2 linked regions of the Callithrix jacchus genome follow. The protein of the gene in region 1 interacts with the protein of each later gene in a pairwise test. Links are inferred from orthologs where the notes say so. Each region holds a gene or a part of one and is shown on either strand. Other genes may lie near its edges. The genes, in order: DYNC1I2 and DYNLT3.

Region 1 (16,672 bases):
GTTGGCCAGGCTGGTCTTGAACTCCTGACCTCAGATGATCCACCCACCTCAGCCTCCCAAAGTGCTGGGGTTACAGGCATGAGCCACTGCGCCCAGCCACATCTTTTTAACCTTAATATGTACATTGTCTCCTTTGAGAGTACAAACTCAGTTGAAAACATTAATTTTCAAGAAGGCTGAGTATATTCATTTTAATGTATATGTACACATACGCAGTAATAAAAAATGAATTCTACCTAAATCATATACAGCTTTCATAGAGATAATTAATGTTGTGATGATGATATTGACAGTGAAATAAAACATTTCTGAATATATGATGTTTAAAAAGAGTTCCCAGGTCTGAGAATGAAACCTAATGAACTCATGTTGAGCAAAAACGATGCTAATGTAAGAATAAAGACAATAAGAAGAAATACAGGAAAATGCATGAAGACATGTGAGACGTATGCATGCACCTGTACATGAAAACTTCAGTTGGCCAATGCAGTCTAAGATTAGTACACGTAGGGAGTAGGAATAGATACAACATAAAATATGCTATCTAAACATGCTTGAATCACTCTAAGCGCCAAGAATTTCTTTTGGGACTGATGGTAATTTAAGAATAAATTTAAAAGGCCATGAGAAATGATCTCTCTCTAACTTTGCAGATTAGGGAGCTGCATTTTATTTGTTATCTCGAAAATTAGGAACAATTATTTAGTAGGGTAATCCAGGCCTCTTGTTCCTTTTTTCCTTTTTTTTTTTTTTTTTTTTTTGACTTGGAGTCTTGCTTTGTTGTCTGGGCTGGAGTGCAATGGTGTGATCTCAGCTCACTTCAGTCTCTGCCTCCTGGGTTCAAGTGATTCTCCTGCCTCAGTCTCCCCAGTAGCTGGGATTACGGGTGTGTGCCACCTGGCTACTTTTTTATTTTTAGTAGAGACAGGATTTCACCATGTTGGCCAGGCTGGTTTCAAACTCCTGACCTCAAGTGATATGCCCACCTCGGCCTCCCAAAGTGCCAGGATTACCAGTGTGACCCACTGTGCCTGGCCCTTTTTTCCATTTTTGATCAGTTTGTTTCTCAGGCTTTGTACTTGGAATTGTATGTCTGAAGATGCCCTTAATAAATATAATCATGTACACATCCAATGGATTTTCAGTACTGGCTGTATTTTGAGGTACAGTCTTACTTGATTTTAGACTAAAATGACATCCTCAACAAGGAACTTTATGTCATTGATAGCAGATCTCTTACATAATGTAAAGGCTATTGACAGAACATTCCTTGGAGACCGTCTCATAGAACTTCTTTTGATTTAACAAAGCCTAAGCTTGTTGCTGTGTTCATTGCTTAGTACAAAGTAGATCTTCACTGTGGCTGCTTCTTACATTGCATACACATAATCTTGTTTAAATTCCAAGATCTTTCTTTATGTTTTTTAAATGGAGGATTTCTCTAGATTAATTCATTATTATTTTTCTTGATAAATTGTATAGGCAGGTAAGAGAAACCATTTGTTGTATTAAAACATTGTAGCAACTAACACTAGTTGTACGTTATAACATCTTAGATAAGTGAAAAATATATTTGATAAAAATGGTAGTACTAAATGTATTATGCTTAACTTTTTTTAAATGGGGACTATGAGCATTAGACTGTACTGTGCATAATTATCTTATATATTGCTAACCTACATAAATGCCAGTATGATAAAGTACCTTTTGTTCTACTAGTAACTTTGTTAGGCTTAATTGGAAAAGATCCTCTATAAGTTGCTTAGCCAGTAGATGATGCTAACACTTATCACTAAATATTTATTTAGAATTGATATTTGAACATAAATTATTTTTCCAGGGAAAAATGTATTTTTTCCTAGAGACAGAAATCTTTAGTTGTTTTCTTAAGCAGATGATATGTAAGCCCAAGGCAGTGCTTAACCCATAAATTACAGAAGGGTCACATTTTGGAAACTTTAGCTATTTTGTATCCCAGTGGGATAGTCTTTGGTTTTATTACCAAAAGGCTTATGTGTTGACTCATTTCCTTTACCAGTATGACAATTTCCTGCACACATTTAATGCTTTGGGGAAGATTAGAATACGTTAACTAAGATGTTTAAATGTGGTCTTTTTTCACTAGAAATCTTGAATTTTCAACCATTTTATAGCCTAGCTTGTTATCCATAAATAATTACTTGGGTTGTCTGCTTTAGTTGTTCTGAAGCAGATCTGTTCTGAATACAATATTAGTTTCCCATAGTCTGTAAATAATGTCTTTTTACTATTCTGGGGTATATGCTTGCATCTTTAACCGTAGTAAGCTTACTGCATGCACTGGATGATTGAGTGACCTGGTAGATTTTTTGTTTTGTTTTTTGATGTTTTTTTAAAAAATACTAACCAGAACATGTAGTTTTTAATTGTGAACAGTACTTTAGCTTTAGCTATTCGTAGAATGTATTTGCTTGACTAACTTATGGCCTTTTTTGCTAATGCTTCATGGTTGTCCTGCAACCATTTAGGACGCTGCATTGGGATACAGATCCATCAGTTCTTCAGCTTCACTCAGATTCCGATTTGGGGTATTGAATAGATTTTCTACCTTCCCTGTTTTATAATGAATTTGATTCTTTGTGAAACTGTCCTAATTTTATTTTGCTTAAGTTTGTAATATTGTATCATGTAGTAATGACAAGAGTTATATTTTACTGTGACACCTCATTTATCCAGTATCTTTAATGAAAGAATATTCTCTCCATGTGATGTTCTAGTTACCCTAAGTCCATTGAAGTGTCCAAACTTTTAAAATTATATCTGTATTTTTAAGATAAGTTTTCTAAGAGTTATTTAAAAACTTCTCAGACTTTTTCTAATACACAGTCTACATGAAATTGAACCTTTTCAGGGTTACTTGGTATGGATATTAATTTATTTTTCTATATTAAAATTCACTGACGATTTCTTAGATTTTGAGAGTAATGGAGATGCTGGTCCTTACACCATTCATTCATTACTGTTCATTCATAAATCTAGAATAAATAAATGAATGAATGGTTGAATCTAGAATAAATATATGAGTGAATGGATGAATAGATTACTCTTCATAGAATGTGTAGATGAATATTATTAATATAATTGTCATTAAGTCTCTATTTTAAATAGATTCTTTTCTTTCATTTTTGTTTTCTTTATTGCTTTTCTTTTTTATTTTTATTTATTTATTTTTTTTTTGAGATGGAGTTTTGCTCTTGTTACCCAGGCTGGAGTGCAATGGCATGATCTTGGCTTACTGCAACCTCTACCTCCTGGGTTCAGGCAATTCTCCTGCCTCAGCCTCCCAAGTAGCTGGGATTACAGGCGAGTGCCACCATGCCCAGCTAACTTTTTGTATTTTTAGTAGAGACGGGGTTTCACCATGTTGACCAGGATGGTCTCGATCTCTTGACTTCGTGAGCCACTGCGCCCAGCCCGTCTCTTTTGCTTTTATTTTTTGGCATATTTTCATAGGGAAACATTAGAAAAATAATGCTTTATAGTTTCTGTATGTATGTCTTTGTTTTTTAGAGTTTTAAAACTTGTTCTTTTAGAAGTTAACACTGTAAGCTTATATGTATGGTTTTTAAATTTTGTTGACATAGAGATAAGATTATTCATCCATTCATTCACTCATTTTATTCTAGATCCTAATGCAAATTTTAAATGTTTGCTTGCCATCTTGCCTGACTCAGATAGCCCTTTTCCCCTGATAACTTATACCTTCTAAAATATATGACTATACCTTTTGGAATTGTGTCTTAAGTAAGAGTAAATGAGCCTTGATTTTAGGCATATAAGAAAAATACATGAGTTTCTCGTACATGAACTGGAAGACCTCTTTATTGGCCACATTGAGGCTTCCCCCTCCCGCCTCCCATTGTTTTCTTATTTTCAGTAAAAGTGTCTTTTGGATAAGTGAGGTATTACTTCCCTACCCACCTCCTCCTATAAAATCTTGGAATATTTTGTTTGTTTAATATTGTGGGGTTTTTTTGTCTGTTAGTCTCTATATGCATTCACGTTGGTAACTTGTTTCTAATATAGTTGGCTTGATGATTTTTTTCCAGATATGTGAGTGATTTACTTTTTTATATAATTTGCATCTTAAAAATCAGAATATAAAGTTTCTTATTTCAAATTTTATTCTTAGACTTCTAGATTACTTCAGATTACTTAATTTGTCCAATTAATTCTTTGACTATGCTTCCCCCCCACCTTTTTTTAAACTAGAAGAGACATTAAAAAATTGCTATGGCCCACATTTTTTTATTACTTTATACTTTATAATACTTTATTGTTTATGCTTTATTATATTGTACAGGACTTGGATTTAGTTACTAAACAGAACTGAAAAGAGTATTTATATAAGAAAAAATTTCTCTTACCAGTGATAGCCTGCTTCATATTCTGGAAGTTACAACAGTGTCTTTATTGCATATCTTTTTAAGGCAGCTTCATAACTGAGAACTTTTTTGGGAGTTTGGAAGTGTACTTTATTTGGTTTAGAATTTAAACATCTAACATAATAACCAATAAAAGATCTCCCAGATAACTAATAAAAGATATTTTTCTTTTCGTTCATTTTCCTCAGCCACAGCGCTCTTCCATTATCAAAAAAGAATGTATTCCTTATATTTAACTAAAACAGAAGTGATTTTAGTAGATTTGTGGTATTCAGAAGATCTGTCATTTTAGTCTAGGTGTAGAATATCTGAATTTTTTTGTAGTTTGTCCATATATGAATCAAGGGCAGTATTGATCATGCAGAGATTAGAGATTTAAAAGTTTTAAATATTTCTTTTTAAAGTTCAAATTGATAATGTAATTCTCCATTTCTGCCAAATAAAAGTAGAAAAAAGGCTTTTAATAGGAACCTGTTTTTCAGTTGTAAAGCTGAATTCTCCTTTTGGCGAGATCAACTAAATGTGGTCTGAGTGATATCCATGTCTGATTCTTCAAAAAAAAGTCCAGAAAGAACCATATCCCAGCTGAAACCAGTTTCTTTTAACAACCTTATTCAGTGGTCCACTCTGAAGTTCCTATCCTCTTACTTCATTATTGCTTACACATTTATTCTAAATAATGAAATTACTTGGCTTTTTAAAATGAAAAATAAAAATACTGAATGATTCAGAAATATCTTTTGCCTTTGCTACCTTCTAATTCTTTTGCTAAAATACAGCCAGTTTATCGTTAATCTAAAATTTCTTGAATAAAATGGATTTAATTTAATTTACAATGTTGGGTGCAAAGGACTGTTTACTTCTTAATTTTGAAAATAACATGGTTTGATGTAATTAAAATGTATTGTTTTTATTCACTTAATTTAGAAGAGGACCTATTAAACTTGGAATGGCTAAAATCACTCAAGTTGATTTTCCTCCTCGAGAAATTGTCACATATACAAAGGAAACTCAGACTCCAGTTATGGCTCAACCCAAAGAAGGTGAATATCTATCCTTAATATAATTGTCATTGAGCACCTATGTTAAATACATATTCTTTTTTTCTTCCTTTGGTTTATCTTTTATGTCTTTTTTCTTTTGTATTTTGGCATATTTTTTAGGGAAACATGAGAAAATAATGCTTTACAGTTTCTGCACTGTGTCTTTCTTTTTTAGAGTTTTAATACTTGTTCTCTTAGAAGTTAACATTGTAAGCTGTATGTGTGGTTTCTTAATTTTGTTAACATAAATTTAAGTCTTTGAGTCTTTATATTGTCATTAATGTATACTGCTTTTAGAAGCCAAAACGCTTAAGCATAATTTTGAGCATGATTCTTCCCCAAAAAAGAGTGGGTCCCACAGTAAACAAAGTCATGTAAATTATTTCTGAATAGCATAGTGTATCCTGATGTTATTCATACTAATAAATGAATCTAGACTTAATTTTTAAACTTTCTCTTTTATGATATAGGGGCTGTATTATGTTGATTAGTTAGTAGCCTGTAATTTGTGTAAAATATGGGGAAGTAAGCACAGACATAATGAATGTGGAGACCCTTTGGTAAAACTGGAAAGCATTAAAATAGCTAATGATTCAAGCATAAGGTCCTGTGATCTCGTTTTCCCAGTGAGGCTAATGAATTTATGTCATCCAAAAAAAAAAAAAAAAAGATTTATGTGAGATCCCTAATACACTTCGGTATCTTACCCGAAGCTTTTGGGGCCATATATATATTAGAATTCCAAATATTTCAGATTATGGAAAAGTAATAAAATTGTATCATATGTGAAAACTCTATTGGTATCTTGGTCATTAATATTTTGGCAGCAAAGCATATGAGTATACTAAGTGAAATAAGTAATGACTATAAATAGCTTTATCTCTGGTCATGTCAGTGTTTACCACCAAATGAGTTGTGGATTTTAGAGCCGCTAACAGTTTGGGAATAGAAATTTTATTAAATGTTTAAATTAATTTATTTTGTAATTTTTAATTAAATTATCATGTTTCTCCATTAAGGAAAAACAAAAGTTATATTTATTGCAGAAAGCCAAGAAAATACAGGTAAGCAAAATGAGGAGAAATCCTTGAAACCCTGTCTACTACCAAAAGAAATTTTTTAATTTTCATATTTGTATATACCTAGGAAAAATTAGGATTGTGGCTGGGTGCAGTGGCTCAGTGCCTGTAATCCCAACACTTTGGGAAGCCAAGGCAGGTGTATTGATTGAGGTCAGGAGTTCAAGACCAGCCTGACCAGTATGGTGAAATCTTGTCTCTACTATGAAATTCTGAAAATTGTCCAGGCCTGGTGGTGGGCACCTGTAATCCCAGCTACTTGGGAGGCTGAAGCAGGAGAATCGCTTGAACCCAAGAGGAGAAGGTTGCAGTGAGCTGAGATCACACTACTGCATTCCAGCCTGGGTGACACAGCGAGACTCCATCTCAAAAAAATAATAAAATTAGGGTTGGTAAAACTAGAAAGCATTATAAATAGCTAATGAGTCAAGCATATAATTACAGTTTCAAAATTTTGAGGAAATTGATACAACATTTTTGTCCGAGTACTTTATTTTTATTTATTTATTTTTTTGAGAGGAAGTCTTGCTCTGAGACCCTGGCTGGAGTGCAGTGGCACCATCTCAGGTCACTGCAACCTCTACCTCCCAGGTTCAGGTGATTCTTCTGCCTCAGCCTCATGAGTAGCAGGGAGAAGAGGTATGCATCACCGCTCCTGGCTAGTTTTTGTATTTTTGGTAGAGACAGGGTCTCTCGCCATGTTGACAAGGCTGGTCTCAAACTCCTAGCCTTAAGTGATTTGCCCACCTTGGTCTCCCAAAGTGCTGGGATTACAGGCATGAGCCACCTCACTCAGCCAAGACTTTCATTTTTTAAAAATAGTTTTTTCTAATTACTATAGCCGTATATCATAGAGAATTTAGAAGTACAGAAAGGATATAGAGAGGAAACATTTTTGATTCTTCTGTGTATGATCCATTGTTAATATTTTGGTTCCAATGAATATGTCTCCAAACTTCTTATTTAAATTGGTGACTAAAAATTATAACACCAAGAAGTGCCTACCACGTATCAGGCATAGTGTGAGACACTTTGCATCATCTATAATGCTGTCACCAAAACCCTGAAAGTTAGGTATTGGTTTTGTTTACACACAAAGAAGCTGAAACTGAAAGAAATAGTTTGTCAAGTGTTACGTAGCTAATAGCTGTGATTGTAAACCAAATCTGACTGATTCTAAGGTGTGCTTTCTCTCACCACTGAAGCAGCAACTCATGTTTTTATGATAGTAACCTATAGTAAGTAGTTCGGTTTATATTTAGCACTGATTCTATTTGAATTTGAGTATAGTTTATTGAGTATTTGCTGTATATAAAGGCACTAGATTATCCTTTCTTTGGATTTGTTGTCCTTTTAGTTACAGGTTGAGGTATATAGGTGAAGGAAAAAGAAAAAAATTGTATCCTGATACCATGAAGCTATCCTTAACCTTTGGAAATGTTTATAAAAATGAGATATTCGGGCAGTATCCTTTGGGGGAAAAAAATGAGATAATTTCTTTTCTATATCATTACAGTTATTTTCATGTCTGGAGCTCTTACATTAAGTTTCTTTTCCCAAGTTATGTAAGTTTTAGAAAGAGGGAAAGAGAAAAACCTTGAAATTAAGATTTTATAATGGAAACACTGTGTGCTTAACTCTTCTTTGCTTACCCATCACTTTAATACCTTGGCAATCAAACTTCGCCTGGTTGGTTCCCATTTCAGAATTATGTAATGAATTCCACAACTCACCATGAAACAAAATTGGTGAACTCACAATTGGAGTGTAACAAACAGCAAATTAAACTTGGGTAGGCAGTATAATCCATGCAGAAGTAATGTGACTTACCAAATTGAAGCTAAAAATTGGTCATAGACTTAACTCTTATCTTTTTTTTGTATGTTTTTAAAATAAAAATGGCCAAGCCTATTCCTTTAAAAAAGCGGTTTTTATTCTGCCTTGTTTTTCTTATTCCTTGTTCTAGCCATCTTCTTGCTTTCAAGTTTACTCTATAAGTTGGTAGTACTGTTTCTGAACTGCGGTGCTTTGCTATCTTAAAGCACCTACTGTGAATAAAATTGACTAGTACCACATGACTTCAGTCAATTTTCTTCTCTGCAGGTGAAAAGCTTCTCTTGGCAGGAACGTGGTGCCCACAGAAATACTCCTGGAAAAGTTACTTTCTTTGCCTTTTAAAAGTTTTAACTCTTTTGAAAATGGCTTTATTTTTTCTTACCTATTTATTCTGTATGGGTTTTTTTTTTAAACTATTTTTTGAAAGCTCATTAAAGGAAAAAGAAACCCTGAAGTTTATCTAATTTAATCAGCTTGTTTACATCTGAGGAAACTGAGGTTCAAGGAGATTAATTAGTGGGCCTAAGTCCACAGTGTGAGAGAATATTGGGCATACATCCAGAAACTGGCACTTGATTTTTAGTGAAGCACGATTTCTCTTATTGCATTCCACTTTCCTATCTGTGAAGGAGTTTGTAATTACTGTTGGTATTGGCTTAATAGCCAAATATTTTTCCTCAATACCTGTTGATTAGCTCTATAGCTTGGCCAACATGGTGAAACCCCATCTGTACTGAAAATACAAAAATTAGTCAAGTGTGGTGGCACACACTTGTAATCCCAGCTACTCAGGAGGCTGAGGCAGGAGAATTGAACCCAGGAGGCAGAGGTAGCATTGAGCCAAGATCATGCCATTGCACTCAAGCCTGGGTGACAGAGTGAGACTCTGTCTCCAATAAATAAATAAATTAATTGATTAAAATGGATTTTTAAAAGATTCTGGAATGAATAACACATTTAATAAATTAGTTTTAGCCCTCAGAGGACCTATAAGGATATAAACATAATTGAAAATTGAAGCATTTGTTCTTAATCTTGATTGAAAGACTTTAATCAGCAAATCTGAAACCCTGGCCTCAGAAAAATGTAATGTTTGATGAGATGACAGATAACAAAGTCTACGTAAGGGTGCTAATACTGCCAAATAAAACCCAAATTTTATATAAAAAGGACTATGGCTGGGCAAAGTGATGTGCACCTGTAGTCCCAGGGACTCAGGAGGCTGAGGCAGGAGGATCACTAGAGCCCAGGAGTTTGAGGCCAGCCAGGGCACATAGCAAGACCCCATCTCTTAAAAAAAAAAAAAAGACTACAGAGAGACAAATTTTGTGTTAAAGGAAGTGGTATAATTAAACTATTAATCCTTTCCCCCCCAAATTAGCATTACATCTATATTGAAATAATTTCTGATTAAAAAGTCAGCTGTGTATTTTTCCTTGAAGAGCCAGAGAAAACCAGGTGACCTGGCATCTTATTCTAGATGGTGTAAAAAAAGGAATGGATTCCATTGGTACATTCATGAAGCTTTGTCCCAGCGAAGATTATCTTAAAGATGTATTTGATTTTAAAGAGTAAAGTATAAGAAGGTGAAATTATGCACAAATGGATTTAAATAGAGTGATTCAAAATGAAACTGCTCCAGAAAAGAAGGGATTTTTTGAAAATGTTAAATGAGAGCCAGGCGCAGTGACTCACGCCTGTCATCCCAGCATTTTGGGAGGCCGAGGTAGGTGGATCACGAGGTCAGGAGTTAAAGACCAGCCTGGCCAATGTGGCGAAACCCCATCTCTGCTATATAAAAAATATATATATACAAAAATTAGCCAGGCGTGGTGGTGTGTGCCTGTAATCCCAGCTACTCGGGAAGCTGAAGCCGGAGAATCACTTCAACCCGGGAGGTGGAGGTCGCAGTGAGCCAAGATTGCACCACTGCACTCCAGCCTGCGCAACAGAGCGAGACTCCATCTAAAAAAAAATAAGATATTAAAGGGAAATTATTCCTATGTAATCTGTATTTTTAAACTAATGATTTAAAGCATTTTCATCTAATATTTTCATAGATGTTTGTGAAGTTATTCATAAGTTGAAATTTTCTAAAGTCAAATCATATTTTTATATGCCACAAGTGTCCTGACTTTTAGAACTCAGTGTCATCTTCCTTTATACCAGGAATAATCAGACTACCTTGTAAATTAGGAATTTTTCATAGGATATTAAATTATCTTAAAATGGGATGCATTTTAAAATATTAGAAGAAAATATGAAAATATTATAGGAAAATGCTTTAATCATCAAAGGAATATGCTTTAATCATTAGTTAAAAAAATAGAGATTACATAGGAATAATTTTTCTTTAATATTTTCTTTATTTTTTTTTTGAGACAGAGTCTTGCTCTGTTGTCCAGTATAATAAAACTATATAGTAAATTGATAGACAACAAACATATTTCCTAAACAACAGTGCACTAACGATGGGATTTGTTTTTTTGCTTCATATTGAGATATAATCATTTTAAGTGATAGATTCATAAGTAGCAATGTTTGTTCAGTAAGGATTTTCTAAGATACTGTATATTATCTTTTAAATGTCTTGTAATATTTTAAAATAATTCAAAGTATGCTTTGTGACTTACCTTAGCTTACCTTAAATACTTAAATACTCTTAGCTTACCTTAAACGTATCTTAAATGTAAACTGTATCTTAAATGTGCTGTGAGGTACAGATGAGAAAACTTGTTCTGAAGGCTTCTTCCTTTAGTTTAACAAAAGCTACCCATTTCACAGATGATTTAACTTTGATTAACCTACTCCATTGTAACAGATTATTTCAACAACTGGAATTTCATTCTTTAGTAAAAGGTGAAAAATTTATACGATCTGAAGAGAAACCAGAGTATTTGGAATTTCATTCTTTAGTGTTATTTCTAGGTGCAGCTTAATTTACAAAACAGCTTTTCTTTCTGTCTCTCCAAAATATGTCACAATTTTGATGTTAACTCAGTAAAATTCAGTGGTTCATTAAACCTAGTTTTAGCATTCATTTACAAGAGATTTGTCATTTTAAAAGTAACTGCTACTTTTATGCACTCTTTACTGCTCAGTTTATAACCTTAGATTACTTGTCAGAGAAAGCATGGAGTTAACCACTTAGCATATTATAATGAATATTCATCAATAAATTGATGTGACTTGGCAACCCCATTTTTCAGTCTTCCTGCTCTGTTACAGTCTTTCCCAGTTTTAAATATAGCTCATCATGTAATAAGGACTAGCTTAGAAAATCTTTAGACTGCAGTTTTATATTTTTGGCCATGTTAATAGTCCTTTGGTAGCTATTATATTAGCTTATAACAAGAAAAGCATATTTGTTTCAGAAGAACATCCTTTAATCTGATGTTATTGATATCAGACATTTTTGTGAAATACTTGGTAAATATTATAATTATTTAAGATTAGCCTTACAGCAAAAATATCACATTTTACAGTTTTTAAGAACAGCAGTATCATTTGTTTTTATTTTCCTTGAAACTTATTTAATCATTTTTATGAAGCTTAAGTACCAATTAGAGTTTTAAAATCTGGTTTTAATCCATGTAGAAAGGGAGGGTATGTACTTTTATTCTAAAATAAAACCCTGAGAGCATGTATTTAAATAGTTGATACTCATTATTCAGCTACAACTGAAATAATTTAGATGGACAAATAGGCATGCCAAATGCTGTTGAGTACACAGATACAGATCACTGTCTGACATACTACATCTACATTTTAAATTTTAAAAGGAAAAGAGAGTCTATAAACAAGATCTTTTCTGTTAAATATGTAAATTATGAGGTCACTTAGCACTAAAGTACTGACCATATGCATTATGACAGGAATTTGACACCTGTCATTGGAAATGGTACTTAGAGGCCGTATAATACAACAAAGTTGAAGGAGGAGAATAAGATGTGGGTAGGAGGCTGTAATTTATAATTCACAGTGCTCAAGAATGACCTGTCCTGGGTGACTCAAAATCCCTATCTTTGATTTTAGGATTTACATACAGTGAACTCTACTAGTAAACAGACTTGATTAGGATAACTGGTAGCATTAGCAGGAAGTGGAAAATATATGTATATTCTAACAGTGAATTTTTAGTTGAAGGAGATGTTCTGTTCTAAAAGACAACTTATAAGTTAAATGTAATTAAATTATTTTATTACATTACACCTGCAGGTGACTTTATGGAAGAATTTCATTCTAATGCTTGAGTGGTATCATGTAGAATTGCTACCAGTTATACTATTTTCAGATTAATAATTCGTTGTACATGAGAATTCATCTAAAAAGGAGTAGTGTCTTTCTGTTTCTCTGTGTGATTATTTTGCCCCAAAAAGCTTTCATTTTTTTAAGTAGCACAAAAGCTGTAATTGGCATGCTTTGTAAGGAAGTGTCAATGTGCAAGAGAATGGCGATCACTAAGAATTCTTTTACGTGTTCTTTCCCCTTTGCACCACCGCCTCCTCAGCAGGGTCACTGAGATCACTAGCTTTTCTTGAAATGGCCATTTTCACTGGCAGGTGCATTATACCCTGTATTTTCAGATTGTTTTTCCATTCTGAATGTTTGGCAGGTTGATTGCTCTGGCTGCATTGACAGAGAGAGGACTGACAAATGTGGTTGGGCTGGCTGAAAAGACAGTGATTACTGTTTTCCTTTGTGGCTGATTGAGGCCCTTGAAAGGAAAAATTTTAACCTTCACCATTTGGTTCAAAAGTATGAGCATATATTGAAATCACTCGTGCCATTTATCCTAGTTCTGTAAACTTGTCAGAACGTAAAAATCGCTCAATTTCAAGTAATGTAGGATTGGCATACGTCATTATCATTTTGATTAAGTTGGATGGAGGTTGTATCATTGTGTGCATTATACAGTGTCATTTAAAGCTTTCTTTCCACAGGTACAGTTATATTTTTATTGCTTGTTCTTCAGAGTTAGAAAGATTTTCATAGCTCTCAAAACCTAACACTGTGTGTGTGGTTTGGCAGCTGGTGTGGCCTACAAGCTGCATTTTGTTTGCAGGGTAAAGGCTTGTCTTTAGGCCTCCTGGAGTGCGGGTAATTGCACAGGCCCACCATTGGGGAGAGACACAGGATTGGAAGCAGTCAAGCGGAAGAATGTTATGCCATCCCATTGCCACCTTGTAGCAGAAAGACGTAATCCCAGCAGTGCCATCTGGTTGTTGCTATCTAGTCAGCTGGCCTGGCTGCTGGGACCATGACTTGGCAGCTGGTTTCCATTCTTGACCATTCTTTTGTGTATGTCGTATATATGTGTTTTAGATAATTTTGAACATGGGTCAGGGAAATGACTATAACTACCAAGTAAAGTCCCCTTATTGAATAGGCTCTCATTACTTGAGCTGCACTCTGCTGCAGATGCCTGCTGCCTTTCCCTTATAGACAAATAACGCATGTGTTTAGGCCATAAAAATAAACATTTTCTTCATAAAAACCCATCTAAATGTGTAGCAAAAGAAAAGGTAGGCAGGGTTATGTGTTCTATAACATTTTTAAATAAATTATTTTAAATTCTTATTTGTGATGTAAGAGATTTAGTAATTTTTTAGAAGTCTTATAAACACTGTATATTATCCCAGTGTATATTTTTATTCACATTAAGAAAACATTAAGTGCTTATTGCCACATCATATAACAGTAGATAATGAGACTTGCATTTAAAATGACAGAATAGAAAATGTGGTCTTATAGCTATTATCTTCAAAATCTGCCTCTCAAATAGCAACCTGAGAGTTAATGTAAGCTGTCTTTATGCCATATGAAGACCCATTAGACACTGATGGTTTCAGATCACAAGTAAGCAGCCAGCTCTGTAGGCTATTTTAGACATTTGATTTTCCTCATTCTACAGCATTAATGTGTCAGCATGCTATATAAAACTATGCAGGAGTTGCATGTTGTTCTGTCTAGAATGATAAATGCTGGCAAGCTTTTAGAGACTTCATGAGGAATTCATCCTAGTTGCATATATATCTTATTTCAGTTTATGTAGCTACAGAATTTAGGGTGGCTGTTGCTGAGGTACCGCATAGGTATATATAAAAACCAAAATGTTCTACTTAATTTTTGACTATGTTGGTAAAAATCCCTATTATTTGTACTTGTTCTGTCCTGTCATTGGTTTACTTTTGCTTTTATCTTGGGAGTTGTGATACCCTCTGAAATACTGTCTCAAAGTACTATTTTCATTAAAATAATTAATTCTATCATTCTGCTTTTTTTCAGATGAAGAGGAAGATGATGATGTAGTGGCTCCTAAACCACCTATTGAACCTGAAGAAGAGAAAACTTTGAAGAAAGATGAGGAAAATGATAGTAAAGGTGTCTTAAAGAATTAAACTTTAAAAAATTTTGTTGATTTCTGTTAAGATTTCATTATTTATGTATTAAAGTAGTATAAAATGCTGTAAATCAAAAAAGTGAATCTGATTGAAAAAGAATGTGTAACATTCATTGATCCATACTGTGATAGTGAGTTGACATGATTTGCCTGACATAAATCATACTTCAAAAAATTATTTGTTTTTCAGCTCCCCCTCATGAGCTGACTGAAGAAGAAAAGCAACAAATCTTACACTCTGAGGAATTTTTAAGTTTCTTTGACCATTCTACAAGAATTGTAGAAAGAGCTCTTTCTGAGCAGATTAACATCTTCTTTGACTACAGTGGGAGAGATTTGGAAGACAAAGAAGGGTAATGTTTAATGCTAAGATTTTTAGCTCCAATAATGTTAAATTTAAGAGTGATAAAAGTTATAACATCATCTTTTTGGGGGGGTTGGTCTTTTTTTTGTAGAGAGATTCAAGCAGGTGCTAAACTGTCATTAAATCGACAATTTTTTGACGAAAGATGGTCAAAACATCGAGTTGTTAGTTGTTTGGATTGGTCATCTCAGGTAAAACATAATAAAATTAGCTGCTCTTAACTCATTTTTAAAATTATAATTAGCAGGTAGTTTTATTTTAATTATGGGAATTTTGTGTAATAAATCAATATGTATTATTTAAAATTAATGGATGGCTCTAATGTTAACATAATCAAGTACTTTGGAAGAAAGATTAGAAACATTATTTATATTTAAAATTCAGATCTTTATGTTACAGGCCAGTTTTACTAATTTCAGTTGCTCACCAAATTCTTTGTGTAAAATTTGAACACATTTTAATTAAATGTTTTAACATTAAAATATTTAAAATAATTAACTGTTCTAATTTAAAATTGTACTAATGTCCCAATGAGCATAACGCTAGAGATGTCTCTCTTGATGAAATGTTAGGTATTTGTATTTTCAGAATAATAATCTGATAAAGACAAATAACTAGGAATATAAAACAGTTCTTATTATGCATAGCATTTCTTTTCTTCTTGATTCTTCTGAGCAGTATCCAGAGTTACTCGTGGCTTCCTATAATAACAATGATGATGCCCCTCATGAGCCTGATGGTGTGGCCCTTGTTTGGAATATGAAATACAAAAAAACTACCCCAGAGTATGTGTTTCACTGCCAGGTATGGTGGTCTTTTAACAGTCTTCCTCAAGTTTAAGAATTCATTGATGAATTAAGACAAGTGCCTTTTTTCTTTTCTTGTCAACATAATGATTTCATTGGATTGGCATTTTACTAAACCACTCCATATTTGCAAACAGATGTTAACAGAAAACTGAAGACTTCTCAGTTCAACATGATATGCCTTTTGTAGCTTTTCTGACATCTCTTATAATGTTTAATCACACCTAAAGTCCTTTGCAGTTGTGATTCTCTGTTATGGTGATTGACTGTATAAAAGGAATCTTTTATAAAATGTCTTTCCTACAGGGAGTTTCCCAGGAACTTATTTGTGAATATACAATTAGGTGGTTGGCCCACTGAATTACTTATACATGGCCTGAGGAGTTGGAACTAGATGGTTTTAAGTAGAAACACATGGTTGAAGTAGAAAACAGATGCAGATTTTTAAAGCAGGTTTACTAGAAGGTTAGAATTTGCAAGTCTTTTCTGGTTGCATAAGTTAAAATCTTTTAATAATGTAAAATCTTTAGTAAACACTTCTTTGAATCAAACTAGCATGTACTCTACTGTTGAATACTGTCAGAGGCTAACGTAACTGAAATAACTTTGCTTTCTTTGATAAATTGGTTAAACATACTTATGTAAGCAGTCATTACATTTGACTTTTAAACAAAAAAGTATCTTAAAGATACTTTTTATATTTCTGAAACAGTGAAA
Region 2 (16,068 bases), on another chromosome or scaffold:
TTTGCTTCTAGAAGTTGGCAATGCCAGATCACCTTAATTCTATTTCAGGGTTTAGGTAATTTAAAACTGAGCTTCAGTTTGCAAGATCAAGCTTGGGTGTTTCACACCCACGGTTTAATCCGTGGGGTTTCAACCCAAAGCACGATTGTTTACCGGAATCATCCTCCTTTGCAGTCATAATTATGCAATCTAATTATTTTACCCCTTGGCCCATAAACAAAATACTTAGCATCTTTTCACCTCAAAGTAAAAAGTTATCCCAAATGCCATGCTCATCTTTCTTGGTTTCATTATTCTAGGTCTTAGATCCATAATTCTTCTCCATCTTGTTAAAAATCCAATTCTTTCGAGCAAATGTCTATTATATTTTGTTCAATCTTTGTAATTATCAATGAAAGGGATGGTCCTAATTACATAGTCTTCCATTACAGACGCCTTTAAATATAATTTGAGTGGTTAGTAAAGCGGGTCCAAATGTTTTTTATCATCTACTTCTATGGGGAATCTTTCTCAATAATATAATTTATTTATATTTAGGGAAAAATAATTATTAAAAACTCTTTAATAGGAATTGCTTATTACTACCTAATGCATAGAGCCAGATATAAAATGATAGCAAGATTGAGGGTCTCACTAAAGCATTGAAAGAGATTTTATTTGGAAGTTTTTACAAATTAGATTTTAACACCCTTTTTATTTTGTTTTTTCGTATAATTGTATAATGTAAAGAAAATATTTTTTAACCAAACCCCATAAAGATGCCCACAAAGTCCCTCAAGTTTACCTCAATGTACCATATAATTATTATCTTCTATGTGGACCATAGCATGGATGTACCAACATTTATTTTACATCCTTTTTTTTCTTGCTGGCAGAACTCACTTTTCATCATACAAAAGGAAAACGCCGACATTTATTGTCCCATATATTTTGCCTGGCGGGAGTCACATGTCCCAGTCTTGGCCAATAGAATATGAGGAGGAAACTCCCAGAGACTTGAAAGAAAGATTTGCTTTCCTAAGAAAATCTGATCAACCCCAGGAAATGCTCATCTTATTCCTGAATGTGATATCTTTGTTCCTAGAGATACCAGAACTAATGCAGCCATGTATGACCATGAGGCTAAATGTTGCTGATATACTGAGGATACTGGCATAGAAAGTTGAAAAGCACAAAAGTCCCCAATATCTGTTGGGTAACTAAACAGACATAGAGTATCTCTGCCTCTGTATGTCTGTGTATTAGTCTGTTCTCTCATTGCTTCATAGCAATGAGAAATACCTGAGACTATATAATCTATAAAGAAAAGTGGTTTAATTGGCTCATGGTTCTGCAAGCTGCACAGGAAGCAGAGTGGCTCCTGCTTCTGGGCAGGCTTCAAGAATCTTACAATCACAGTGGAAGGTAAAGGGGAAGCAGGCACATCTTACATGGCTGGAGCAGGAAGAAGAGAGAGAGTGGGGAGGGGCTACACACGTTTAAGCAGCCAGATCTCATAATAACTTACTCGCTATCACTATCACAAGAACAACACTGAGGTGATGGTGCTACCCTATTCATGAGAAATGTGACACCATTATCCAATCACCTACTACCAGGGAATTATAATTCAACACTGGGAATTATAATTCAACATGAGGTTTGGTGGGGACACAGATCCAAACATATCAGTATGGTTATATAAGAAACTAAATGCCATTATTTCAGCTCATTCTATTGGGTCTTTTGTTACTTGCAACCACAGGATGCTAGTTAATAAGCCCACTGTAGTTTTAAAGCATGGCCCCCAAATTATTTGTCACTTCTATTGAGAAGTGGATTCTGTGTCTCCTCTCTTCGAATCTGAGTGAATGTTTCGATGATTAGAGTATGATAGAAGGGCTGTTGTGTAATTTGTGACACTAGGTGATAAAAGGTGACACATCTTCTACCATGCTCAATGGAACACTCATGCTTGGAGTTTTGAGTTGCCATGTAATGTATCTGGCTACTCTAAGGCTGCCGTGATGAGAAAAAGCCAATCCACTCAGTGGGGCCGTGTGTTTGTTGCTACAGTTGACAGTGCTAATATTTGATTCATCTAAGCCCAGGTATCAGACATGTGAATGAACAAGTCTTCAGATGATTCTAGTCCCCACCATTGAATTTCCTCCCATCTCTGAGTTTTCCCACCTGAGGCCTCAGACACAGAGCAAAGACAAATTATTTCTGCTGTGCCTCATTCAAATTTCTGACCAACAGAATCCATGAGCATAATATAATAAATAAGCTGCTAAATTCTGGTGTAATTCGTTACACAGGAATGGTAACTGGAACAACACTTCATCATCTCACTTTATATGCATCATGAATGATCATGATGCATATAAACACAAACTTGAGAGGTGCTGGTGCAGCCCTTGCAGTGTTAAGATTAGGTAACTTCAGGGTTTAACTCACCCAGGCATAGGTAGAGTTCTTTAGGGAAATAAAACTGATGTTCACAATGACACCATGAATTCTTCTCATGAATAGAATGCTGGAGTTGCTCATAGAATGAAAACTTTGGTAAAAAGAAAATCTTGAAAGAGGATGTGCTTCCTCTATGAATTACAGTCACTTCTGCAGTAACCCTCCATGATCCACAACTCAGGAGAACAAATAACAAACCCCATATTGTCAAGTAAACAACCCTATTTGGTTCTAAGTTCATAAAATAAGAGCCTGAGAATCAGAAGCCCAGGAGTCCAGTTAACATGTATGTGCCTTGTAGAAGTTACTTTATCTTCGCAGCTTCAGTTTTAAAATAGGGGAGTTGGACTAGAAGACTAATGGTTTCCAACTTTGATTCTGGGCAGCAAAATAGAAAAGTGTTGTGGTTGGCTGAATAATGCTCACCCTCAAAATTGTTCTCATCTGAATTCTAAGAATCTGTGAATATGTTATAGAGTGCAAAAGACACTTGGCATATGTGATTAAGTTAAGGGTCCTGAGAGGGAAACAGGAGGGCGAGAGTCATACATCTCTCCTTTGTAGAGATGCCTCGCATCTCCTTTGAAGCAGAGGTCAAAGAGGAGAAAAGAGGCTGCTGGCTTTGAATTTAGAGGAAGGGGTCACGAGCCAAGGAATGCAGGCAGTCTCTAGAAGCTGGAAAAAACAAAGAAACAGAGTCTGCCCTAGAGCCTCCAGAAGTCATGCAGCTCTATGGGCCCATTTTAGACTTCTGACCCCGAGAACTCAGGCAGAATAGGATCAAGAGGCAGGGAACTTAAGACTGTTTCACACTGACTTCCTAGAATTAAATTGAAAGGAAAACGAACTTTCTAGGCCTAAGTAACAAAAGGACCTGAGGCTATTCCCTTTGCAATCCCCCACCTTTTCTTCAGGGCAGATGAGAAATTGAAAGTACCTATGATTGGTTGCTTTTTGCAACCAATCGGATATTTGCATAGGAGTGTGGCCTTTGTAACTTCACTTCACCCTGTGATTGTGGGCCACCACTTCATTTACATGGGATAAATACGAAGTGGCCAATGGTAAACCTCTAGGGGTTATTTGGACCTGAGAAGATTCTGTATCCCAGCCCTTGAACGGCTTCTCCGCCCACTCCCACCCTGTGGAGTGTACTTTCATTTTCAGTAAATCTCCGCTTTTGTTGCTTCATTCTTTCCTTCCTTTGTTTGTGCCTTTTGTCCAATCATTTGTTCAAAGCTCCAAGAACCTGGACACCCTCCACCGGTAACAGAACTGTAAGAGAACAAGTGTGTGCTGCTTTAAGGCACTACCTTTATGGTAATTTGTTACAGTAGCAATAGGAAACTAATACAGTGGTTAAGAGCTTGGGTTCTGCTATCAGATTACTTGAGCTCAAGTCCCTTTTCTACACCCTACTGGATGTATGACCTTGGGCAAATTAAATTCTCTGTACCTCAGTTTCATCTTGATAAAAGCAGTGACAGAAGAACTCTTCTGGCTGATGGTGAGGTTTTGAGGAAGTGATTAGGATTATCTGGAAAGTAACAACTTTAAAATAAATGTAGCGATTGTTGTCTAGCTGAGAAGCATTTACTTTAGGAGTTGTGTATATAGCATCTCATCCGATCCTTACAACCAGTAGTGAAATAGGTATGATAGTAAATTTCCATATGAGAAAACTGAAGCTGTGGGAGGTGAATTTTTCCAAGTAGCATAGCTAGTAAGTGGACAAATCAAAGCGGCTGGTTTATCACGACATTAACTACACTTTTATGTGCCAGATGATGGTGAATGGCCAAATATATGTAAATAATCACAGCAGTGGGCACTCAACCAATAGTGTGGAGTCTAGATTAACTGCCGCTAGGTCACCCCATCTGATCCACACTGGCGCCATTCCCAGTTCTTTAACATTCATCCCTTGTTTCCAGAAAGGGCAGAGGAAGCAAGGAAGGGGTGCGTGACCTGACGTGACGCCTTGCCGGGAGCTAGCCCTGCGTTGCCAGGTGACGCCACTGCAACACAAAGGCGGGGATTGCGTAGGGAAAGGCCCTAGGCCATAAACGGGGGTGGGGCCTCCCCGGAGGCCACTGCGCGGCCGCGGTGCTCCACCAGCGCGTCGCTCCGCCCCCAGGGAGAGCCGGCGCTACCATGGAGGAGTACCATCGCCACTGCGACGAGGTACCGCCCCTTGGCTACCTGAAAGCGCCCCCCGCTCCCGCCTTCCTCTGCTCGGGGCTCTTGCCGGGTGGTCTCCCAGCGTGGGCGGCCCCAAGAGTTTGGGTGCGGCGTCCTCCGAGCCCCGGTCCTCTCCCCTGGGCCCGGGATCCGTCCCGCCCGACCCGTTCTCCCCATCCAGAAGTCTTGAGATTCGGGGTGGCAGGGGTGGCCAGGAGGGCGCGGATCAGACGGTGGGGTTGGGGCAGGGTTGGGAGGACGAGGCCTAACTTGGGTGCTAGGAGTGGGCATGGGGTGGCGGGCTCCGCCCTTCTACCGGGCGGGCCTCGAAAACGGGTCTTCCCGCTGCTTCCTCAGCCCCTTGGCGTCCTCAGGGAAGGTGCTGCTGCCCCCGTCGATCGCGGTCTCGGTGTCCTGGAGGCACTGCCACTCCCACTCCCGGTAACTCTTGCCTGGGTGGGCTGGAAGGAGGCGCTTTATGGATTACAAGCCTTGCTTACTGACTCAGGCTTTCCCAGCCCTCACCAGAACCCCATGATGTCAGTTGTTATCTTCCTGCTATCGACGGGGACTCTAAAGAAAAGACTAAGTTGTCAGACCACTTTATAGCATTAAAGTGATGTTAATTTTGAGTTATCAAGTATTTTCATCATCTTTAATTTAGGAAAGAAATTTTTGCCTAACGTAAGTTAAAAACAAAATTGAAAATAATCTATTAAGCATTCTTTTCTTATGGACCACTTTATTCTTTCACTTAGCTGAAACTATTTCTATATTCTTATAACACATAACCTCTTTATAGCCACTTCTTGCTTATTTCCTGAGTTTTACAATACAATGATTCTTAATCTAGGATGTTCATTAGAATCACCAGTATAAAGCACTTTTTAAAAAAAATGTAGGCTTGCAGGCTCTACCCCAGACCTCATGAGTCATTCTCCAGGGTGGTAGGTAGGGAAAGCATTCAGTGTTTTAAGTGTTTAGGGGTAAGATTGGCCGCTTCTGTAGACCTGGTGCTCTTTATCACTGTGGTCTCCTGTCACTACCACCTGTCTAGGCCAGCCTAAGGTATTCTATGTAGCGTCATATCTGCAAGCCTGTGTTGAAAGCAGCTTTACCTTTTGTTTTCCCTTTAGGTTGGCTTCAATGCTGAGGAAGCCCACAATATTGTCAAAGAGGTGAGTTATACATGTTGTTTCTCCTGAAGCTTGCTGTGTTGGTCGAGATTTTTAAAAGCTATATTTTGACTTTTTGTAGAGACAGGGTTTTACCATATTGGTCAGGCTGATCTCAAACTCCTGACCTCAGGTGATCCACCTGCCTCGGCCTCCCAAAGTGTTGGGATTACAGGCGTGAACCACTGCACCCAGCCAAGAACAAGATTTTAAATATTTATCCACTAACTCTTTATAGGGGTGCTTCTATGTTTTTTTGTGTGCTATTGGCATCTTGGGGCTTACTCTGAAAGAGATGTCTAAGGATTTTCTTAGTCTAGAAAACTGGTTTAAAAATGATACCCTGTCTTTTGGATAAAAGAACTTTTATTCCAGAAGGCAAACATTGTTTTAAATGTTAACACTATAAAAGTATATGTATGTGTGTATATATGTACACACATAGAGACTTTTACAAAGCATATGTATAATGTATATGTATATTTTATAAAATAGATAACAAAAGTCCTAGAAATATCTGCCTTCGGGCATGTACACTTTTTTGCCGAGTATAATAGGAAAAATGATCACTTAAACATTGATATGATGGTAAATCAAAATTTTAAGGAAAAGGAAAGTATTTGAAACTCCTTTTAGGCAAATAGAAAAGAAATTATCCTTGGGAATTAATTCTGGCAAGGGAACTTTCATTATTTTAGAGGTATCACATACAGACTACAATATTGGTAAGGTATTTTTTAACACCTTACCAAGGTCTGACCTTATACAACTAGAATTAACTCAAGGTCTAGACAGGCACCTGAAAATCTTGCCATATTTTAACACTTCAGAATTATGCATTCTATCTATGTAGCCAGGAATATTTAATTATTGAAAGTAGAATGCAAAGGTTTCTGATACCTTTACAATGCAAAAGCACAAATGAGGGAAACTGGGAGGTGGAAGAGGGAGTGGAGGTAATGAGAAGGGAGTGATCTTAATTTTCGAAGTGGAAAGTCGGGAAAGACTGTCCTTGGTTGATGGAACATGAAAGAAAGAATACTGGGTTCTTTGGGATTTCATTTAGATAGTGCCTTCTTCCTTGCTTAAGTTCTGAGCCAATGAAAAGAAAAAAAGAGCCAATAGAAAGAGAACAAAATATCACCTTTATTATTGATAAAAACTAGGTTGGTGATTGTAGCTTGTTTTGCTAACTCCCATTCAGTTCAGCCCTGGGAAGAGGCATCCAAGAGAAAATTTGAGTCAGCAGAGAGAAACACTTGTTCAGGCTGGTGCCTTTCATTGGTTTGGGTGGAGTGGGAAGGAGAAACTAAAGCCCAAGTTCAACACATTGGGAGACTGGCTCTGCCAAATGAGATGTTAAAACGATGGTTATCACCTACCAACCAGGTAACTCATTCCACCTCAATAGGGAGGAATAACTGACAGGACAAGAGGCCAGGAATGTTAAAGAACAATCCTCTGTGTGGAAGAAAACACCCAGAGTGGAAAGGAAACAGGTTTCTAACAGTGTAAATACATTTAAGTTAAAAAAAAATTGTGATTTCACTATATTGAGAGAAGGGGGCGGGTGGTCTGAAGGAACCAAATTTTCATCTATCGTAGTAGGAGTTACGGATGTCGCCTATAATTCATAAATCAAGAAATAGTGACACAAATGTTATTTGGAGATATGTAAGTAACCCTTAGAAGAAATAAAAATGGTCGTACACTGATGAGTTTCCTCTGGGGAATGGGACTGAGAATGGGAAAGGAAACGGTGGGGAGGGGACTCTTCATTCTAAGCTTTTCTGTTCCACTGGATTTTTCAAACCATATGCCTGTTACTTTAATATTGTATCAAATTAAAAGAATCATGCTTTTTCAACTGGGAAATACATACTTGGCAGTGGCCAGGTGATGCTAGAAGTCACTGGATGTATTTTAGAGCATCAGTTTTCCTTGAATATTTGTGAGACAGAGTTAAGTAATGTAAGTAATTTAAGTGAAAACAGTTTTTTAAAAAAACAAACTGATGCATTATGTCGTTAAAAGCAAGTTTCTCTTGAATTTTTATATGAAGTATGAGACTGCAAAGAAACTCGGCTTTGCTACAGGTTATTTGCAGCTACGTGTCTATCCTCTTTCGTCCTCCCATGAACCAATCTTCTACCATTGAAACACTTCCATTGAGACATTGGAAAGGCCTGGGAATAAGCAGCATTTTAAAACATTTTAGCACTTCCTAGATGATTACATAATTTCAGCAGTTATTTCTGATTTCCTTACTGATCTTATTTTCTTTCCTTTGATTTCTTGCTCTGAACCCCTATGCTAATATGTTTTTCCTGCTGAACTGAGGGATACTCATTTATCAGTAATATGCATATATTTTCTTTATTGTTAGTAATGGAAATTGCTTCCTCAAGAAACCTTCAAAGAAAAAGTGAGCTACAAATGAAATTGACTTGGACCTTAGTCTAAAGTGTATTTAAGATACCCAGAGAGTATATCAAAACCAACATTGCTTCAACATCAAACATCTATTAAATACCTGCTTAAGGACTGCATTGTCTAGTGGGCCTCTATGTTAATGTAATTAATTAGGCTAAATGTTAATTAATAGTAATGAGCAGGGCTATTTACAGTGGTACCCACACCCCATGGTGTTTTCTGCTATTTAGAGCAAAACTTGGAGTGGTCCTATTAAATAACCTGAAAGAAAAATGAGTGCTCTTACTTTCTCCTTAAGGAAAGGTGATCACAAGAGAGAAATAGGTTTGTCCAGAGGTCATCAGCTTAGTAATGATAAAGCCAGAATTAAAATCCTATTCCCCTGATCCTTAAGCCACTGCCCTTCCTACTTTGTCATGGTATTGAGCTTTCTAGGAGAGTAATTTGAGCCACATTACTTTTGTCAATGCTTCTAAAACATTTAATTTATCCTTTTATATTTTGTCATTAGTGAAGATTTTATACTACCCAACTTAAGATTTTGTATTAGTGCCTTTATAAATCTTTACTGCGGTCTAATGATAAAGCTGCATGTGTGTGTATGTGTGTATTATTAAGCTAGATTTTAAAATGAATTATGAGTCTGATTATAGTAAATGAAGCTGCATATGTGTGTTAGATTCTAAAAATGAATTAAATGAGTGCTTTAGTATCTTGGCTTCATCACTCAAATGTAAAATATAACAGCAGCAATATGATAATAGTAGTTAACATCATTTACATGCTAATGCTGTGCTAGTCACTGAGCACTTGGTATTCATTCATTGTCTCATTTCCTCCTAACAACAACTTGATAAGATGATGCTGTTATCCTTACTATAAGGATTAGGAAATAGGGATTTGAACGGGTTGAGTCACTTGCTAAAGGTCACACAGCAGATAGGTGTCAAAGTAGGCCTTAAAACCTAGGATTGTGATACTAGAGCCAGTGCTTTTAATCAGATGTCAGAAGTGGATAAAATTAAAGATTATGGGAAATTACAATATTTGACTTTCTTTTTCGAGAGCATCTTTATTTACTTTCAGTGGCAAGTGTGCTAGTTGTTTCACAGCTAAGCAATCACATAGTATGAATGAGAATATAATTAGTATACATAAGAATTATGTTTTTAAATTAGTCTCAGCCTATGTTTCTAGCATGTGAACTCTAGTTCAAATCCCAGCTGTTTCAAAGCCACTTGGTAACCAATTGATATCATCTTTTTATTTCCCCACCATAATTTTCTATGACATAATTTATCATTAGTCTTCCTTGTGCTACAGATAATACAATTTTTTTATTAGCATCTCTGCTAGATTAAGTTGTTTACACAGAAGCCATGACATATTTATCTCTATATGGCCCATAGTATCTCATAGACTGAGATAATGTATGTGGAAACTCTTTCAAAACTCTTAAGCAATTAGAGACAATGCATAATCAATATTTACCAAGTGTATATTTTCTAAGATGCCTCATTGAGCTATAAGTATATTTTATGTTTTGAATAAATATTTACTGCAATTTGTATAAAAATTGTTCTTTTTGGCTAGTTTAACTGTCTTCTGCTGTTTTAGTGTGTAGATGGGGTTTTAGGTGGTGAAGATTATAATCACAACAACATCAACCAGTGGACTGCAAGCATAGTGGAACAGTCCTTAACACATCTGGTTAAGCTGGGTAAAGCTTATAAATATATTGGTAAGTATCAGTATCCTTCCTCACTAGTTCACTTGCCTTTGTCATTGTGATTGTCTCTGAATTTTGAGAAGGTATATGAGCAATAGACATTTAAGTTGGATACTACAGGATATAAAGGACTTCTGATTTACTCATTCAAAGATAGTATAGTCTGTAATAATACTTAAAAGATGAAGATCTTTCACTACTCAAAGACAGTTTCAGCTACTTGTCGTTGGTAGCATCACCCTTTGCATTTGCATCAGTTCTCTCTTTCCACTGAAGCCCTCTTAGCCCAACTCTTTCTTTCAGTAGTCCCATGCCTCTTTACCTGTAAGAAATTCCACACAGCAACTGTTTATAAAGTGGAATATTTCCTGCATTTCTGCGTCTGAATCCTGCCCATGGTACAAAGCACAGAATTTGACTGATATTTTTTCCTGCAATACAATCACCAATGGTAATGACATTGGTTAAAAAAAAAACCAGCTGAATCTAATGGGGTCAAAATCATGATGGTAGATAAGATGATAGTCTTTTATTTTCTTCAATCTCTTTGCTGAATGCTTTGTTTTCTGTATTTTATTCTATTTTAATTTTTTACAGCTTATAGAGCTCTGAACTCACACACTTTGACTTTGGTTCTCTTTCCCTTTGTCTGTAAGTGTCCTCATTCTGTGACTTTATTTGCAGTGACCTGTGCAGTGGTCCAGAAGAGTGCATATGGCTTTCACACCGCCAGCTCCTGTTTTTGGGATACCACATCTGATGGTAAGAGACCTTAAGCTGATTTACACAAAATCCAACTTTTAGCAAAGTCAAACTGCCCTTTTTAATCAAATATTTAATTCTAATTAAATTCTAAAAAGACTATCAACAGTATTGCTTTTGTACCTAGTAACAAGTATACCTTCAGACCAATATGAAATGTGAAGACTTAACAGGTTGAAGGAAATAAAATATTAAAACATGTAAAAAATGTGTATATATATATATATATATGTTTTTTTCCTGATAGTATATGTATTTTCTCATATATATTCCATATATATTTTGCTGGTATTTCAAAATCCTTTCATTTGTGTTTCAGGAACCTGTACTGTAAGATGGGAGAACCGTACCATGAACTGTATTGTCAACGTTTTTGCCATTGCTATTGTTCTTTAACTGACTACAAATATTGGGCTAAAGCCATTAACTTAAGAATTTGTCAGTGTATCCTTTTAAAAAAAACAGTAATAGTTATTTATTAGTGTGCTAGATGACAAGCGTGCAATATGCTTTAGAGTTACCAACAAAAACTGATTATTCTAAGCAAGCAATATCATAGTTATTGGCAGATTATCTCATTTTCTATACAACATCATATAAATCAGAAAAATTGAATTCTAGCAAAATATAAATGCAGATATATGGTATGATATAAAAATACAATCTTACATTTACACCAGCTTTTCACTAATATTTTGTACCTAAGGTGATGGGGTACTCCATTCAGATAATAAAATTCTCTTTCAGCTAGAGAAGTTAACAGAAATAAATATATGAACAAAAAATCTACAAGGGTAAATGTGGAAAAAAATGAGAATTAGCTAACATCTTTTAGTTTTTTTTAAACTTTCTTCCCCTCACTGAGTTGTACATAATATTTAGTGGAAAGTAATTCTTTTTCTTTTCTATCAAGTAATAGTGTAGTAACAACTATGATTAACTTGTTTACTTTTTCTGAGAATTAGCAAATCAATTTGCTTTTAATTTCAATTTTTTGGATTTACACTTGAGGGTGAATTAAATCTGTTAAACTGAATTTCCTAGTTAAACCAAGTTAGTTACAGTATAGGATGAAGAGTATGTGACTCAAATAGCTGCCTTATGATTCACTCATTCCATGTTGAACAAACATTTATCAGATGCCTATTATGGGGATATTTATCTGCTAAGCACTGTAGTTATCAATGTGCTGTGCAAATGCTAAGTTCCTTTTAGCAATTGTTCAGTTGGAAGACAAGTATTAATATTTGGGGAAGGAAAAAAATAGTTGTTTTACAAGGGAGGAAAAAGAAAATGAATCTGGCCACACATAGAAGTAAGCAAAATGAAAAGCGCGTATTACTTTCTGACAGAATTATAGACAAAATTTTAAGAGTTGCTCCTAGCAAGTTAAAAGTGCATATAAAATATGCAACTCTTAGTTAAAGGCCTTATTATCAGTCTTATTTATATAAGTAGTACATTTTATCATTGCTTTAGTTACAACCATCTGTAAATAATTTTAAAGACTTATTATGTGAGGTTCAAATTGAGTGGAATAGAGATAGATTAAAAGTATACAATCATTAGCAGGTTATCTCAGGGCTTATGAAATGTAATTAAATTTATTAAGAAAATAGATGAAAAATTAGGGTACACAGCTGGCCACCAAATGCAAAGTCAATTTGCTACTTAACCTTGAAAACAAAATCAGTTTTGCATATTACCACTAACACTAATACATATAGAGAGTGGAACCATAACTCATTGAATTTTGGGGAGGAATAAGCTTAGTGTTAATATTGATGATATTAAGGCAATATTCTTGTAGGAATACCACGTGCATGTTTGATATTTTGCTGAATATCAATAACAATTGTTCAATGTTTAAGAATAATATTAACAAAATAAAGGAGTTTAATGCAGTGATCTTTGTTTTGGGAACATCAAAAATCTCGGTCATTTTTCATGTTTCTTTATGCTGCTGGCTTTCATGCCCTTGAAGATTATAATAGTGACCAAAATATATATGCAGACTTGTTTTTTATTATTGTTGAAGCCTGATTTAAGAAAAAAAAATTCGTACCTCGTGAACTTGCCATCTACTCTGTTTCTAGTTAAAATATAATAAATATTATCTTCCTGCACTGTACTTTTGCTTCTGGATAATCATTTAATAGAGAAATGACATTCTGCTTGCTCTTAGCAATTTTAAATAGAAGAAATGGCTAGGTGAGTTGGCTCACACCTGTAATCCCAGCACTTTGGGAGGTGAGTGAATCATTTGAGGTCAGGAGTTCAACACCAGCTTGGCTAACATGGTGAGACCCTGTCTCCTAAAAACACAAAAATTAGCTAGGTGGGGTGGCACGCACTTGTAATCCCAGCTACTGAGGAGGCTGAGGCAGGAGAATTGCTTGAACCCAGGAGATGCAGTGAGCCGAGATCACGCCACTGCACTCCAGCCTGGGCGACAGAGAGAGACATCGTCTCCAAAAAAAAAGAAAAAAGAAATCTAAATAGGAGAAATGGAGAAGAGAAATGAATATGGGACCATATAAATATATTATGCAGAATAACTACCATTAAAATAGCAGCCTCAATCTAGTGTTTACCATTACAATATAATAGCTTCTGGTTTATGCCTTTTATTTTATGATTTTAACACAAAATTTCATTTTCAAAAAGTGCAAAAACATATTCTGCAACCATTCGTTTTTAATGATTATTTTTTGCAACGGATTTTGTCCTATTTGTCAACTTGCAATTGTATTGTTGTTTTTAATTGAGGACCTTAAGTTAGTAAAATTAGGGTATTCAAAGGATTTTTGTAACACTCTAATTTTATGTTTGTAAAGTACCCATATGCTGCCTAAATGATGGCAACCTCTGATTACAATTACTCTAGTGAAAGTACTTTTCTGCTTTTCTTTCCAAGTTGAGTGTTACCTAATTAAGAGTCATATTATTACTACCAGTTTTCATCATTACATTCTTACATTAATCTTAGGCTGCCTAGGATTATATTTTCAAAGTTTGAGTAAAAATAGTTATCTATTTTTGATAACAGTTTTTTTTTAAAAAAGGGTGAGAAAAATTTGTGACTTTTTGTGGCAGAAGTCTTTCTTAGATACCAAAGCAAAGATTAAGGCTGGGTATGGTGGCTCATGCCTGTAATCCCAGCACTTTGAGAGACTGAGACAGGTGGATCGCCTGAGGTCAGGAGTTTGAGACCAGCCTGGCTACATAGCAAAACACTTTCTCTACAAAAATACAAAAATTAGCCCGGCATGGTGGCGCATGCCTGTAGTCCCAGCTACTTGGGAGGCTGAGGCTGGAGAATAGCTTGAAACAAGGTGGAGGTTGCAGTGAGCCAAGATTGTGCCACTGGACTCCAACCTGGGTAACAGAGCCAGACTCCATCTCAGACAAAACAAAGATTAAGAGGTAAGTTGAAAATTTCACCTCACATGCTAGAATCCACCCAAGGGGCATTTGTTTTATAATCTATAAGGTGGACCTATATTTGTGGCTAAAGAGGATTTAATGTCGAGTAATTCTGTGAAGTTAACCTTTGCACATTTATGAAATTATCTATTAATTTTTTTGAGGTGAAGTCTCACTCTATTGCTCCCCTGAGAGGACGTTTTTCCAGGTTCTTGATCTATCACGTGGAGGAGACCACGGTGCAGTACGCTTGTAAAGTAAATACTGGACTCAAAAAGTGTTTGCAGAAAGTGATTTATTTAGGCAGAGAGAGAAAAGGGAGAGAGAAAGAAACAGCTAGCTTTCACACTGAGTGGGAGAAAGAAAAGCCGCTCTCACACTGAGTGAGAAGGGTTCCCAGAGGGGGAAACCAGAGAAGGAAAGCTCCTCTCACACTGAGTGAGAGAATCCAGAAAGATGGAATCCAGGAGAGGAAAGACAGCTTCCACACTGAGTGGAAGGGAATAGAGAGAGATGGAGTTTAGGAGATGAAAAGCAGCTTCCACGAGGGAGGAAGGGGACCCCAGAGGGGGGAAAATCCACCTGGAGGAGGGGAGACAGGGAATTTTAACCTGGGAGGAATTCTCCCCCCCCCTCCACAAGTCCCTTGGCCAATGAAAGAAGTTCCTTAGAACATCTGCTGGAGTAATTGACTTTTGACCCTTTCCTGGACTGCGGAAATTTAAGCAGTTAAATCACCTGGATGGAGAAAGCTAGGAGTCAGCCTTGGTGCTGGGAAGTTCTTGCCCTTAAAACTAGGCCCCCTCGTGGACCTGGAAAGAGAACACATTCCCTCATTCTTATCATGGAGTTCATTTTACAACCATATTTTTTGAAGAACATTATTATAACAATTAAACATTTTGTGGATCCTTTATTAATTTTTGCTTACTTTATGATTAAGATGGGCATCTACCTAGTAAATTTTCCTAGGGAATTTTCCATGCATACTGGACATTGCAGTCATGCCCCATTCAATCCCTCCTGTTAGCAGAAATTGCATAGCCCACAGATCAAACAATCCTGCATTTCAGCTTAGGGAAATAGATGCTCTACTTAGGAGTGACTACATATTGCATTAGGCATGATCACCTGACCCGGTGATGGTTTATCCATAGACGGATTTTAAACCCATAAGCCGGCCGGTACATTAGCTAATCCAAGCAAACTAGTTCCCTCTGAATTTTGGATTGGAAAATAAGGAGAGTATTGGTTGACAGGTGGAGAAGGGAGCAGATGAAGAGAGAAGCAGAAACACTTGGGTCTGGTTAAGGATTAGCCCACATTCTCCTAATGGCAGAGCTGCAGCTGCAGATGCCCTCGTCGCTCTCCTCCACTCTCCAATGTAGGGAAGACTGTCCAAGCTTCAATACCAGTAACACCAGCAGCAGTATTGATAATGGTATTAGCAGCAATTGTGGCAGACAGCATGATGTACTAGGCAGGAAACAGGATGGGAATAGTCTGCTCCAGTAGATGACAGAATTTCCATCATATGGTGATAATAAAAATCAGACCAGTAACCTAGACATGAGTGTTCATAACAGCTTTATAAGCAATAGCAATGATCTGGAAACCACTCAGATATCCTTCAATGGGTGAATAGTTTAACAATCTATGGTACATAAATAGAATATTACTAAGAACAAACAAACAAAAAAGCCAACCTATTGACAAGGGCAACAATTAGCATGACTCTCCGGGGAATTATATTAAGTAGAAAAGCCGATCTCAGCTCGGTGCAGAGACTCAGGCCTGTAATTCCAGCACTTTGGGAGGCCAAGGCAGGAGGATCTCTTGAACCCAGGAGTTTGAGATCAGCCTGGGCAACATAAGGAGACTCCTATCTCTACCAAAATATAAAAAAATGGT

The links.
Region 2: the proteins of DYNC1I2 (region 1) and DYNLT3 interact in binary tests that used the Homo sapiens proteins (3 or more experiments, as listed by UniProt). The two-hybrid records come from large-scale screens. The link is inferred for Callithrix jacchus from reciprocal best matches to the Homo sapiens genes DYNC1I2 and DYNLT3.

The regions. Positions count from the first base shown.
Region 1 is NC_133507.1:57,798,173-57,814,844, reverse strand, and holds part of DYNC1I2 (cytoplasmic dynein 1 intermediate chain 2), read left to right. Parts: intron 1-2,507; coding exon 2,508-2,567; intron 2,568-5,351; coding exon 5,352-5,467; intron 5,468-6,486; coding exon 6,487-6,531; intron 6,532-14,670; coding exon 14,671-14,766; intron 14,767-14,975; coding exon 14,976-15,138; intron 15,139-15,240; coding exon 15,241-15,340; intron 15,341-15,827; coding exon 15,828-15,953; intron 15,954-16,672. UniProt on the Homo sapiens protein: Acts as one of several non-catalytic accessory components of the cytoplasmic dynein 1 complex that are thought to be involved in linking dynein to cargos and to adapter proteins that regulate dynein function.
Region 2 is NC_133524.1:38,620,599-38,636,666, reverse strand, and holds DYNLT3 (dynein light chain Tctex-type 3), read left to right. Parts: upstream 1-4,570; 5' UTR 4,571-4,605; coding exon 4,606-4,635; intron 4,636-5,768; coding exon 5,769-5,810; intron 5,811-9,857; coding exon 9,858-9,981; intron 9,982-10,653; coding exon 10,654-10,731; intron 10,732-11,050; coding exon 11,051-11,127; 3' UTR 11,128-12,862; downstream 12,863-16,068. UniProt on the Homo sapiens protein: Acts as one of several non-catalytic accessory components of the cytoplasmic dynein 1 complex that are thought to be involved in linking dynein to cargos and to adapter proteins that regulate dynein function.